Linked DNA regions of Coturnix japonica. The protein of the gene in region 3 interacts with the protein of the main gene of each other region in a biochemical or structural test. Links are inferred from orthologs where the notes say so. Each region holds a gene or a part of one and is shown on either strand. Other genes may lie near its edges. The genes, in order: SGIP1, AP1G1 and EPS15.

The links.
Region 1: the proteins of EPS15 (region 3) and SGIP1 form a complex in vitro, tested with the Homo sapiens proteins (2 studies listed by BioGRID, with this or other methods). The link is inferred for Coturnix japonica from reciprocal best matches to the Homo sapiens genes EPS15 and SGIP1.
Region 2: the proteins of EPS15 (region 3) and AP1G1 form a complex in vitro, tested with the Homo sapiens proteins (2 studies listed by BioGRID). The link is inferred for Coturnix japonica from reciprocal best matches to the Homo sapiens genes EPS15 and AP1G1.

The regions. Positions count from the first base shown.
Region 1 is NC_029523.1:25,693,985-25,697,631, reverse strand, and holds part of SGIP1 (SH3-containing GRB2-like protein 3-interacting protein 1), read right to left. Parts: intron 3,626-3,647; coding exon 3,548-3,625; intron 3,332-3,547; coding exon 3,275-3,331; intron 2,756-3,274; coding exon 2,701-2,755; intron 2,027-2,700; coding exon 1,851-2,026; intron 1,216-1,850; coding exon 1,204-1,215; intron 147-1,203; coding exon 135-146; intron 1-134.
Region 2 is NC_029526.1:17,656,951-17,660,697, forward strand, and holds the start of AP1G1 (AP-1 complex subunit gamma-1), read left to right. Parts: upstream 1-915; 5' UTR 916-1,216; intron 1,217-3,747. UniProt on the Homo sapiens protein: Subunit of clathrin-associated adaptor protein complex 1 that plays a role in protein sorting in the late-Golgi/trans-Golgi network (TGN) and/or endosomes.
Region 3 is NC_029523.1:21,504,463-21,508,109, reverse strand, and holds part of EPS15 (epidermal growth factor receptor substrate 15), read left to right. Parts: intron 1-1,054; coding exon 1,055-1,200; intron 1,201-2,093; coding exon 2,094-2,253; intron 2,254-3,647. UniProt on the Homo sapiens protein: Involved in cell growth regulation. May be involved in the regulation of mitogenic signals and control of cell proliferation. Involved in the internalization of ligand-inducible receptors of the receptor tyrosine kinase (RTK) type, in particular EGFR.

The DNA.
Region 1 (3,647 bases), about 4.2 Mb from region 3:
CCCGCTCTTGCCACACAACATGCAGCACCTGCATGCAGTACAAGCCCCCCACCCCCTCCAGAGCACTGCAGTATCACCACTTGCACAAACTCATGGCCAAAGGCAGCAAGGAAGGCAGCAAGGAAGGAGCTTACCGGGCTGCGCCGCTGCGGTCAGCGAGAAGGGAGAGAGAACAGACACCTGGTCAGAGAGGGATGCATCAGCACCAATGTGGCACCATGCCTGGACTGGCATCCCAGGGACAGGGAGCATCCCTGCTTGAGAACTTGAGGTTGGGACCCTTGGGATGCTCCTTCCCCAGCTTTACAAGCAGCCCCATGCTGATGCACGGCCATCTCTTTCTCTGCCTACAAGGAGGGCAGTGCCCATCCAGAGCTGCCCTCAGGGTGTTTATGGGGTTCCTCTGTGCTGCAGTGCTGCTGGGCACAGACCCCAGAATCCAGGCATGCAGCATGCTCCACACCTGCCCTCCTGATGCACTTTGATATTTTGGCAACTGAACCCCTTTGATCCTGATGCCCTGGGTCAGCTCCTGCAATGGAGCACAAGCAGAGGGGGAGCCTGGTACCTCCAAACAGAGAGAATTTGCCCAATTTGGGCTCAGAATGGAAGTCCTTATGAGGACAACATCACTGCTGCACACACCAGCACTGTGGTCACAAACCACAGATGCACTTTCCTGCCTTCCACTACATCCTGGTGCACAAGGACGTGAGCAGAACTTGCTCAGGGAAAGCTGTGCCCTCACACATCTCATCCAACACCAGCCCCAGCCTTCCCACAGAGAGCATGGAACGCCCCATGTGGACTATGCACATCTCAAGGAAACACAACCAGGCTCCTATCCACAGAATCATGGAACTGTTTGAGTTGGAGGAGACATTTGAAGGCCATCTGGTCCCAAACCCCACAATGAACAGGGACACCCTCAGCTCCATAGGCACTCAGAGCCCCATCCCTGACCTTGGGTCTCTGCAGGGATGGGTCACCACTGTCTCTCTGAGCTCTCTGTTCCACCCACCGAGTTAAACCCAAGGGTGAAGGACAGCAATGAACATCACACCTTCCAGAACTGTCTGATTTGTTATTTGCCTTTACGTTCTAGTTCCAGAGACATGCAGAACAGGTGCCAGGAAAGCAGAGCACACGAGTCAAGGCTGTATTAAAAGTTTGTAAGCAAAAAAAAAAAAGAGAATTTCTTACCGGACTTTTCCTCTAAAAGTATGCAGAAAAAAACAACAGAATAAAAAGAGAAAATCAGATTTCTTCTGTAAGGGGCTGACACAGAACTGAAAGGATTGCATCTGTGAGCAGAAGGCATCAGCTTCTCCCAGTGCCTTTCCGTGAGCTTAGTGACATTGCATTGATTTGGGAAGGAGAAATAAAATGAGGATTTTATTTCACCTTGGCTTCTATTTGAGACTGATTCACACCTCAGATGAGGGCTGAGGATAAACCCTGAACAGCTTCAGCTGCAGAGACTCCATAGCCCACTCTGAAGCCTATCAAAAAAGCAAAACTCGCAGATCTGTTCCCAGCAGAACAGATTGGGATGCGATGATGATCTCAACAAGCCTTATGAAAACCAGTGGGTAGCAGCATTCATACCAGGGAGCAGACATGGCTGCTCCTTTCAGACACCCCTGGGTGGGAAGCACCCTACAGCAGCACTATGGAGAGCCCCACAGACATTCCCCAGCTCAAACGTTGCTATCAATCCCCATCACCACTCCCTATGGATCCAGGTGACAAGGACCCAGAGCCAAGGTTCCTCACTCACACACAAGGGAAGGGGCTCCCTGGGCCAAAGCAAGCAAATAGGAATAGAGCTGGGGACATGGACAACTCACCACAGGGGATGGAGAAAGTGCAATGTTGCCTACGGATGCCTTCAGCTCATCCACCGTCGCCGCGCTCTTCAGGATGTCCTTAGCCTGCAGCGGTTTGATCTTGATGTTGTACTTTTTGTGGGCTTCTTCCTCCTCCTCAGACTCACTGGAGGAGTAGAAGTGCTTCCCTTTGGTGGGTGCAGCGCAGCTAAGGAAGCTTGCTTGGAGATCAGGAGCACCCACCAGCTCAGCAATGGGTCAAAACGTCACATCTCACTGAAAAACGGGAACTGAGCATTTCTAAAGCGCTCATCACTAACCTCAATGGCAGGAGCAGCCACAGGGACAAGCCTTCCTGCACTGCCCATGGAGGCAGGTAAGAAGACTGCTCTGCTGCAGCCCAGTAAGGTCTGTATTGATGTATGGCCATCCTTCCTCAGCTCTGATGGGGACAAAGCCCTCCATCAGCAGAAAGTGGAATCCTATTGTTCACTCACCCTCCTCCAGCTGTGAACAAGGATGCTATTAGCCCCAAGCTTGGCACACATGCAGCATGCACAGCCTGCATCCTTGTTTCCTCACCCCTTACAGAACACATTATGGATCTGTAGATCATAACAAAGTAGAGGGCATGAGGTTGCCCAGGAAAGCCTGCTCAAGTCATAGCATGGATCAAAGGCACTTAAACATGCCCCCTGCTCCACTACTACAGATAACACTCTCTGGGAGCTGGTTTGGACTGCAGAGCAAGAGCTCAAAGGAGAATAAAAGAGGAAAATAAGAAAAACCCATAAAGTCAGTGGCCTTTCTGTGAACCCCAGCTCATCTTACAGATCGTTAGCCAAGAGGCCAAGCCCACAACAAAGGATATAGCCTGGCTCCTCAGGCCGGATGCTGTAGCCCTCCTCATCAAGCTCTGGGGAGTTCTGCATGGGGCACAAAACAGGAAGGATCAACACTGCTGCTGGGGTTTTGTTGTTGTTGTTACTATAGTTTCCCACCCCCCCCTCACACCCAATTGCAAACCACATTTGTCTTTGGTTGGACCCAGTGCCCTTGAAGCACAGATTAGTGCTCTCCTCACCTACACAGGGAAGAGTAGCCCTTCACTTGGTCTCCTGGCTTCTGGACCATTTTATAAGCCTGTCTGCTGAATCAGTTCTCAAATCATTGATGCCACATGGAATCATTAAGTTCAGAAAAGTAGTCTGTGGTCATCCAGTCCACCCATCAGCACATCCCCCCCATGCCCACTAAACCATATCCCTAAGTAACCTTTCCTTTAAAAGAGAATACACATCAGTACATCTGTAATAATGTCTCTGAAGTCACTATTTCTGCTCAGTGTGCTTAAGCTTTGGAGCAGAGAGACAAGAGTGGGGCTGAGGGACATGGTTCACAATAGAGCATTGCCCATGGAAGGGGCAGAGCCCTCAGACACTTACGTATCTGTCCCAGTCGATCTCGGCATAAAATCCATTGGGGGCCCCATTTGTTTTCTTCTGTAACACATGGGAAAACAAGATTTCAACACTTAAAATGAAGGGGGGAAAAAGAGAACACGAATATACACATGTGCTTGCACATCTATGTGGTGAGACTCTACCACGACACAAGCTAAGCAAAGGCTCTTGGGGCTGCCTTTAAATCAACCCTTGGGTTTAAGCTTCCTTAACGATGGCAAGGAGCACCATGTAACCAAGCACCATGTTCCTTACCGAGTTATTTTTTCCTTGCTCCTGTGTGCCCTCAGGTTTGCTATGGCAAGGTGGCTCATTGAGATGAGGGCTGAGAGGCTGGAATGGATTGGGGTTGGGC
Region 2 (3,747 bases), on a different chromosome or scaffold from region 3:
GTCGCCCGGCCCGGCCCGCGGCTCACCCGCCATCGCCCGGCTCCTCCTCCGCGACCCCCACCGGCCACACCGGCCCCATCGCTCCCACCGCCGCCTCCGGCCCGGCCCCTCCCCGCGGCGCACGGCGATGACGCGCGGCCTCGCGCCGGAAGCGCCTCACGGGCCGGGGGGGTGGAGGGGGGCGGGGACAAGGAGCGGAGCCCGAAGCGTCCGTTACCGGGGAGACGGGTCCGGGGCGGTGCGAGACGGGAGGAGAGGAGCGGAGCGGGCTGCGGGGCGGGACAGAGCGCGACCGGCACCGAGCGGACACGGGGCGGGTGAGGGAGGCGGCCGTTCGGAGCAGCGCGGCTCAGCCCGGCCCGGTTCAGATCCCGGTTCGGATCCCGGTTCGGATCCCGGCCCGGTGCGGTTCAGGCTCTGAGCTCCGTCCCGGTACCCGCAGCCATATCCCGCCCCCCTCAGCCGTTCCCGTCCCGCAGCCCCCGGTCCCGCTCCGTTCCGTTCCTCCGCTCCGTCCCGTGTTTGGCGGCACTCGCTGTTCTTTACGGTGCCCAAAGCTCCGCGGGTTCCGGCGGCTCGTTCCGGCTCCTCACGCGGTGCCGCTCCGTGCGCTCAGCCCCGCCGTGCAGCGGCTCGTTCCCTCCCGTTCCCCAGAAGCCGCACGAAAAACAAAACAAACCGAACAAAACCAACCGGACCGGTGGGCAGCGCGCTCTGCCCGCGGCGCACGGACACGCCGGGCCGCGCTTTAACAGTGCCGCCCCACCCGGAGCGCACACGCGGGTCCCGTCCCGTCCCGCCCCGCCCCGCCCGCACACCGCGCACGTTCCCCGCGTGGCCCCGCCCCGTCCCCGCTCGGTCCGTAACTGGCGTCGCGCTGCGGGGCCGCCCCGCCGTGACGTCATCAGCGACTGCCACGGCATCTCGTTGCGCTGCTCGCGATGCGGAGCCTCGTGCGCTTCCGCCGGGACAAATAGTGCGCGCGGCCCGTTCCTCCCGTCCCGCCGCCCGCCGCCGCCCGTCCCGCTCCTGTCGGTGCCGCCCCGGCTGAGGCCGCCCGGCCGCTTTCCGGGACCGACGCCGGCGGATCCCGGGGGGCCGCGAGGAGCGTCGTGCCGTGCGGATCCCTCCGCCTGCGGTATCGGTGCTGAGGCCGAGCCGCCGCCATTTTGAATGCCCGGCTCCTGCCGCTGCCTCCGCTCCAGGGACCGGCCCGGTGAGTGCTGCCGCCCGCCGCCCCCATCCGCGCCGCCCGCCCGTTCTCCCGCTCCTCTCTCCGCTCCGTCCCCCGCTCCCGGCGGTGCCCGGTCCCGCTCTCTGTCGGCGTCGCCTCGTCCCGCAGGATCCCTCGGCCCGGAGCCTCGAGCCCCGCCGTGCTCGGGGCGCTGCCCGCCGTCCCTCGGCCCGTCCCGGCTGTGTCCTCCCGTCCCGTCCCGCGGCCCGTCTCGCTCCTCCCGCCCTCGCTCGGTTCCCGCGGGCTCCTCCCGTCGCTCTGTGCCGCCCGTTCGGGGCTGTGGGAGGCGGGACGGAGCGCGGCTCGCGGCCTTGTGCTCTCAGCCGCGGGCTCGGGCCGGGCCGCGCTCGGTAACGACACGCGGCGCCGCGTGGAGAACGGGGAGCGCGGCGGGAGATCCGCCGGGACCGGGCGGGCTGCGCTCGGCGGCTGGAAGGCGGCGCGGGGATCGGGGCCCTCTCGGAGCCTTCCCCGCTCCTCCTCGGGAGCCACAGGGCAAACCCTGCTCGTTTGAACGCTGGGCGTTGGTTCGGCAGCGGGAGGGCGGCACCGCCGTTCGCTTTGCGGGGCTCTCAGGGCTCCGTGCTGCGTTCGGTTCTGAAAGCTTGAAGCGAATGGAAAAATACGGAGTTAAATGGAAGCGCTTCCAAGGGCGTTTCACGTGCGGGACCAGAAGCGGCATCTGGCGCTCACCGCCTTAAGCAGCGCGGGGCGTATTTCTGTCTGTGCGATCCTCCATTCACCCCGTGTTTAAAATGACACATTGAAGATTTTTTTCCCTGTTCTTCATTGCAGTAACATCAATCTCGATCTTCCGTTCGCTTGTTTACTTTTCTTCCCCCTTTCTGCAGACTGTATTTTTCCTCTGCAGACAGGGAGCATTCCCATTCTACCACAAAACTTTTCCTTTTTCCTGCTTGTCCTGTCTTCAAACGGTGCATTTCGTTGGATGCCCGTGAGCTGGATGCAGGCGGGAGGCCTTGTTCCTCAGGGCACTGTGCAGGGTGAGCCCTCGCTTCTGCCGCGCTGGGAGGAGGAGAGGAACGAGCTTCAATTCCTGTGAGCTGACGGCAGAAAGGAGGGTCTGTTAGTGAGGCACCCAGCTGTCCTGGCCCTGCTGTGTAGAACAGCTTTCAGGTTCCTTTTTTATTTTAGTGTTTCTGATAGAGGGACATTCTCTTCTCTTCTCTTCCATTTCTTTGTTCCTGTGACTTTTAATCTGACCTTTCTTTTTTCAAGGGGCACCGTAATCAAAGCGGAGTTGGTCCGTACTTTTGGCACTGTCCTGGCCGATGAGTGAGTGTGACAGGTAGATCCTTCCAATCTTGATAGCCTGTTTGCAATAGGAGGTTTGAATTAGCGTCACTGTAACCTGATGAGATTGGTACATTCGTTTGTGGAATAAAAAGGCTGTGAGCAGCAGAAAGGAGCTGGATCTGTCTGTTCTTAGGCATGCAGACAGACTGCATGGGTTAAGGATTGGGAAGTTGCCTTTCAGAGCATAAAGGCTTCTGAAGTTGATGCCTCCTTTACATTAATGTTTTTGAGTTGGTGTTGTGCATCTTCAGACAGAGATGAGCTGTTTTGTTTAATAAGAGCGCAAAATCTTTGGTCTGAAAGCCATGTGAACTTGTTCTGGATCACACTGGGATGTTCTTTGAGGAAAACAGTCTCATCGATCATGATGGTTGTGTTACTTTATTGGATGATATTTGGTGTCACTAAACATACACAGTGCTGTTACTCAGAAAGAAGCAGTGCAAACGAATATCTGCTAATATCACTGCAGTTAGTGGCATTTGCCTTGATCTGGCACTTTGGAGATGCTGTAGATAAAGGTCCACAATGAGCATTTCCAGGCACCTGGCAGTACAGCACTTTGTTGTAGTGCAGTGTAGGGGAAGGTGTGTGGTTCAGTCTCGAAGCAGTGACACACGTGCTGCCCTGCCTGCGTGCTACCTGTGCTGCCTTTTGCTGTCCGTGTACCTGCACGTTGCACCATCACATCCTCTGCCGCTGCTTTTTCAGCTTCCGTTTTTAGGCGTGTTCCATGCTTCCTTCCATTCCCAAGCCCCCCATCTTTGTATAATGCAGACTATTCCGATTCCTTGTCTTATCATTCTCTGTCTTGACATTTCCTTTGCCTTAATTTCTTTCTGATATCCCTATGTTACTTATTTTCCACTTGTTATTTACCTGTGTTGTAGGAAATAGCTTTTTCTCAACACACGCTACGTTCCCCTTTGAATGTTGTATGGTTGGTTGCTTTTTAGGAACTCCTGTGTGTTGCCTTTGCCCGCAGTGATGATGGCAGTGATGATGGCTGTGCTGCTTGGTTGGGAGCGTGCTGTTTTCTGTATAAATATGGATGATGTTAAACATTGTGCCGGTATCTCTTTCTTCTTAGTTTTTCCTTGCCAGTCTGGTCTCTGTTTGTAGTGTTTTATTTCTCTTTTTACTGCCATTGTGCCACTTTCTTTTCAGGTGTCTGATGGTGTGAAGCCCCCTGGCAG
Region 3 (3,647 bases):
GGGAAGACCAGATTAAGAGAAAGTATAATACGTAATTTCTTCAGATGTCTTCAAATATGAACAGTTGGATAAAAGTGTATTATTTAGTGAAGATTTTGAAGGTATTTTACAAATAAATTGTTTCAAAACATCTAGCTCAACCCAAAGATCAGAACACTTAGAAAACAGTTTAATCCAAGTATGTGCAGGCAGAATGTTTGTTCTGACTGAATACTGGTTTGAACATGGGCAGTTTTTAAAACAAATTGTGATAGGATTGTGTATGTACTTACATGTTGTCCAAGACTTTTAATCTGGCAGTTTACTTGACTGACTTAAGCCTGGGTAGTGTGTGTATTACAAAGCAGTGTATTCTGGATGAGTGTCTTGGTGTATATTTTTTTTTTAATACAGTACCATTTGAGATTTGTATGTGTTAAATGTCCTTGTACTTTTAAATTAATATCCACAAGCATGCATATATGCAGAAGCTGAATCAATTTTCACTCACCCTCCCCCCACCTTTTTATAGTAAATAGTGTAGTATTTGGAGAAAATGTTGAAGTAAGAAATGTGGCTGTAACTCCTATCTTTACCCTGGTAAGAACTTAAGACCTACAATTTAGAATGTCCCAGCTGTTATCTCTGAGCTTGACCCAGCTAAGGGTCTCCAGCTGTGTAAGGAGGAGTGAAGTTGATGTAGCTGGACTGAGTACAGTGGTGAGTGGAAAACCCCGTGCTAGGAGGAGATCTGGGCCCCAAGGGATACATCTATTGCATAGGCAAAGAGAGTATCAGAGCAGTAGTAGAGCAGTATCAGCCGACTGTTGTCCTTCATTGATACCAATGTTTTTACTTTTGGAGTGTCTTACAGATGCCTATACATGTCTATGTACTTTTATCTATGATAAAAGTGATTCATAAATGAGGCACCCGTATCACTTTCAAAATCTGTGCTGTAGTCCTTCAAATATGTAACTCTGAAAGTATATAACAGTCTGAAAACAGAACTGTCTTTATCTTGGCATTGTGGATTTTGTTTTTCTCTCTACCGCTCCCTCTCCCTTCTCTTCAGTGGGTTGTATCGCCTGCAGACAAAATTAAGTATGATGAGATCTTTGTGAAAACTGACAAGGACATGGATGGATTTGTGTCAGGTGTGGAAGCCAGAGAACTATTCCTGAAGACGGGACTGCCTTCTGCTCTGCTTGCACATATCTGGTAGGGATTATTTTTCCACGACAGCTGTTTAGGCGATGGCATGGTTCTTGCTTTTTCCTTACTCTTTTAGTGAAAAGTGCTAGGTCGACATTTATGGAAAATGAGGGCTATTTTCATATACAATAGCAAGGCCTCTGTATTAGCAGCAGTAATTTAATTTGCTTCTACTTTTGGATAGAAATAAAGGGTAAATTGGTTGATGCCATGAGCTGTTTCCTAGCTAAAGGAGGTAAAGAGCCTGAAGAGATAGCTACAAACCAATACTGCATTTAGCTAAATGCCTGTATATAAAGCACCATAATGTTGCTGTGTATTTGAAAACTGATAATGTCCATTTGAGAATTATCTGTATTAAATTGTTAGCATTCAAGACTCAGGGCCCATCTAATTCTGTGAATCATTTGTCTTTCATTATAACCTGTATATTATAGCCTGTAGTGACACCTACTGTGTGGTGGTATTGTTTCCAAATTTTTCTCCATTGTAAGCTATTGCGTGGTACTCTGATAGAAAAGAAACATTGTCTTTTTCAAAGTATGGTTAGTATAATATAGGAAATCTAGGAAAATGGTATAAACTGGTGTTGCTTATGGGGAGTTCTTCAGTTTAGCAAGTAAATTCAGCTACAGATATTTAGACATTGCAATTTGTAGGCCTAGTTCAGCCTTTTACCAGATTAATAATTACTCTAACAGAGCAGTGAAACTGTACAAAAAGAGGAAGTGGTTGGGTATGTTTCTGTATTTATTACCATGGTTTATTTGTGCATTACATTATTTTTAATAGAGCAGATATGCAATAGCTGTTTTCACAATTCTAACTGAAAGTACAACACGAAGAGTTAAGTTTGTGGAAATGAAGATTTTGTTTATTTCATGTGCATCTCTGTTCAGGGCACTCTGTGATACAAAGGACTGTGGGAAGCTTTCCAAGGAACAGTTTGCTTTGGCTTTCTACTTAATTAATCAGAAATTAACAAAGGGCATTGATCCACCTCAAGCTCTGACTCCAGAGATGATTCCACCTTCAGACAGGAGTGTCACATTACAGAAGGTAAGGATGGCTTTGCATGCTTGGTATACATTTCAAAGGCTGCACAGGAGGCCCATCAAGTACTGGCAAACATTAAGTTTGTTATAATATCAGGAAGAAAACAAGTATTAATTACAAATAAGTGACAAAGCACTGCTCCGTTTGTGTTTTGAATTGAAGCCGTCATTTATTGCGCTTGCCAACCAAGCAGAGAGATCTTATGTTGAGAAAGCACTATTTTCTATTTTAGAAGAATAATCTTTTTTCTGTCCTCGGAAATCTTAGTTTGCGTCAGAAGTAACATGCACAAGTTCTATGTTTTTGTCCTAATGTGCCTTTCAATTATCTTTTGCATTTCTTTTTTTCAGTAGCTCTCAAAATAATATGAACTAAATAAAGTTTATGTTTTTGAAGTTCAAGAAGTAAATGTCCACCATTTTATTCTTCACAGATAGTTTGAATGTCTCGATAGTGTCTTAATTGCCATCTGCCTTAATCGAGCAGTAGACCATACCTTAACAGTTCAAGTTACGTTTATCCGGATGGCGGGAGTCATGGCAAATTCTTACTTGGTTTACGCCTCATAGAGTTTTATGTTGGTTACCTTTTCTTGGTTGTGCAAAGCATTGTCCTGCCTCTGCACTTTCTTGAACAGAATGAAAAATCAGCAACTGAAAAACTAGAAACTCAGAATTTGGCCCTGCTTTTGAGTTTCTGTAGCTGGAATCTTATTTCTTTTTTATGTTCTATTTTAAAAAAGAGTAACTGCTTTATTTGCAACTCTACTAATATTTTTGTATGTTTGCTTTCCTTTCTATGTCTCTTTTCTAGTTTGGACTGTTTTTTCCATTCTGCACCACTCTGCTTTTCATCCTTATTATTCTGTCAGTTTGTTAACTCTGCTTTCTCAAGGTTAGAGAATCTTTGCTTTTCTAATATTTACTGTCTGTTGGTTTGATAATGAGCGTCCTTCTAAGACTCTTAAATAACCACTGAAATAGTGCAGCACTTTTCTGAAGCATCACAACTTGTTGCAGTCTCACATTATTACTGGTTTTCAGTGTTCTTCATCTGGAAGAATCTCAAGGTGCTTTGCAAATCTGAACTAACACAGTGTACATAATCTGCTTTTGTGCAGAAAATGATTTCTGGGTAGACCACTGTGGCTGTTATGTTTTGGCTACATGTACTGCTCAAGTTTACAAAAGAAAGTGCTTTGCATTATCCTGTTGGAATTGTTGAGGGAAGTGATGACAGTTGTAGCCCAATATTACAGATGACAGTTTCCATTAGGACTGATACCCATTTTATTACTGATTAAGTTTCAGAGAATGTAGTGGTCAGAAAACACTTCAGATGAAATCAACATTGTTTATGGCTATTCTGTGTACATTGCCTTCACAGAACTCTTACAG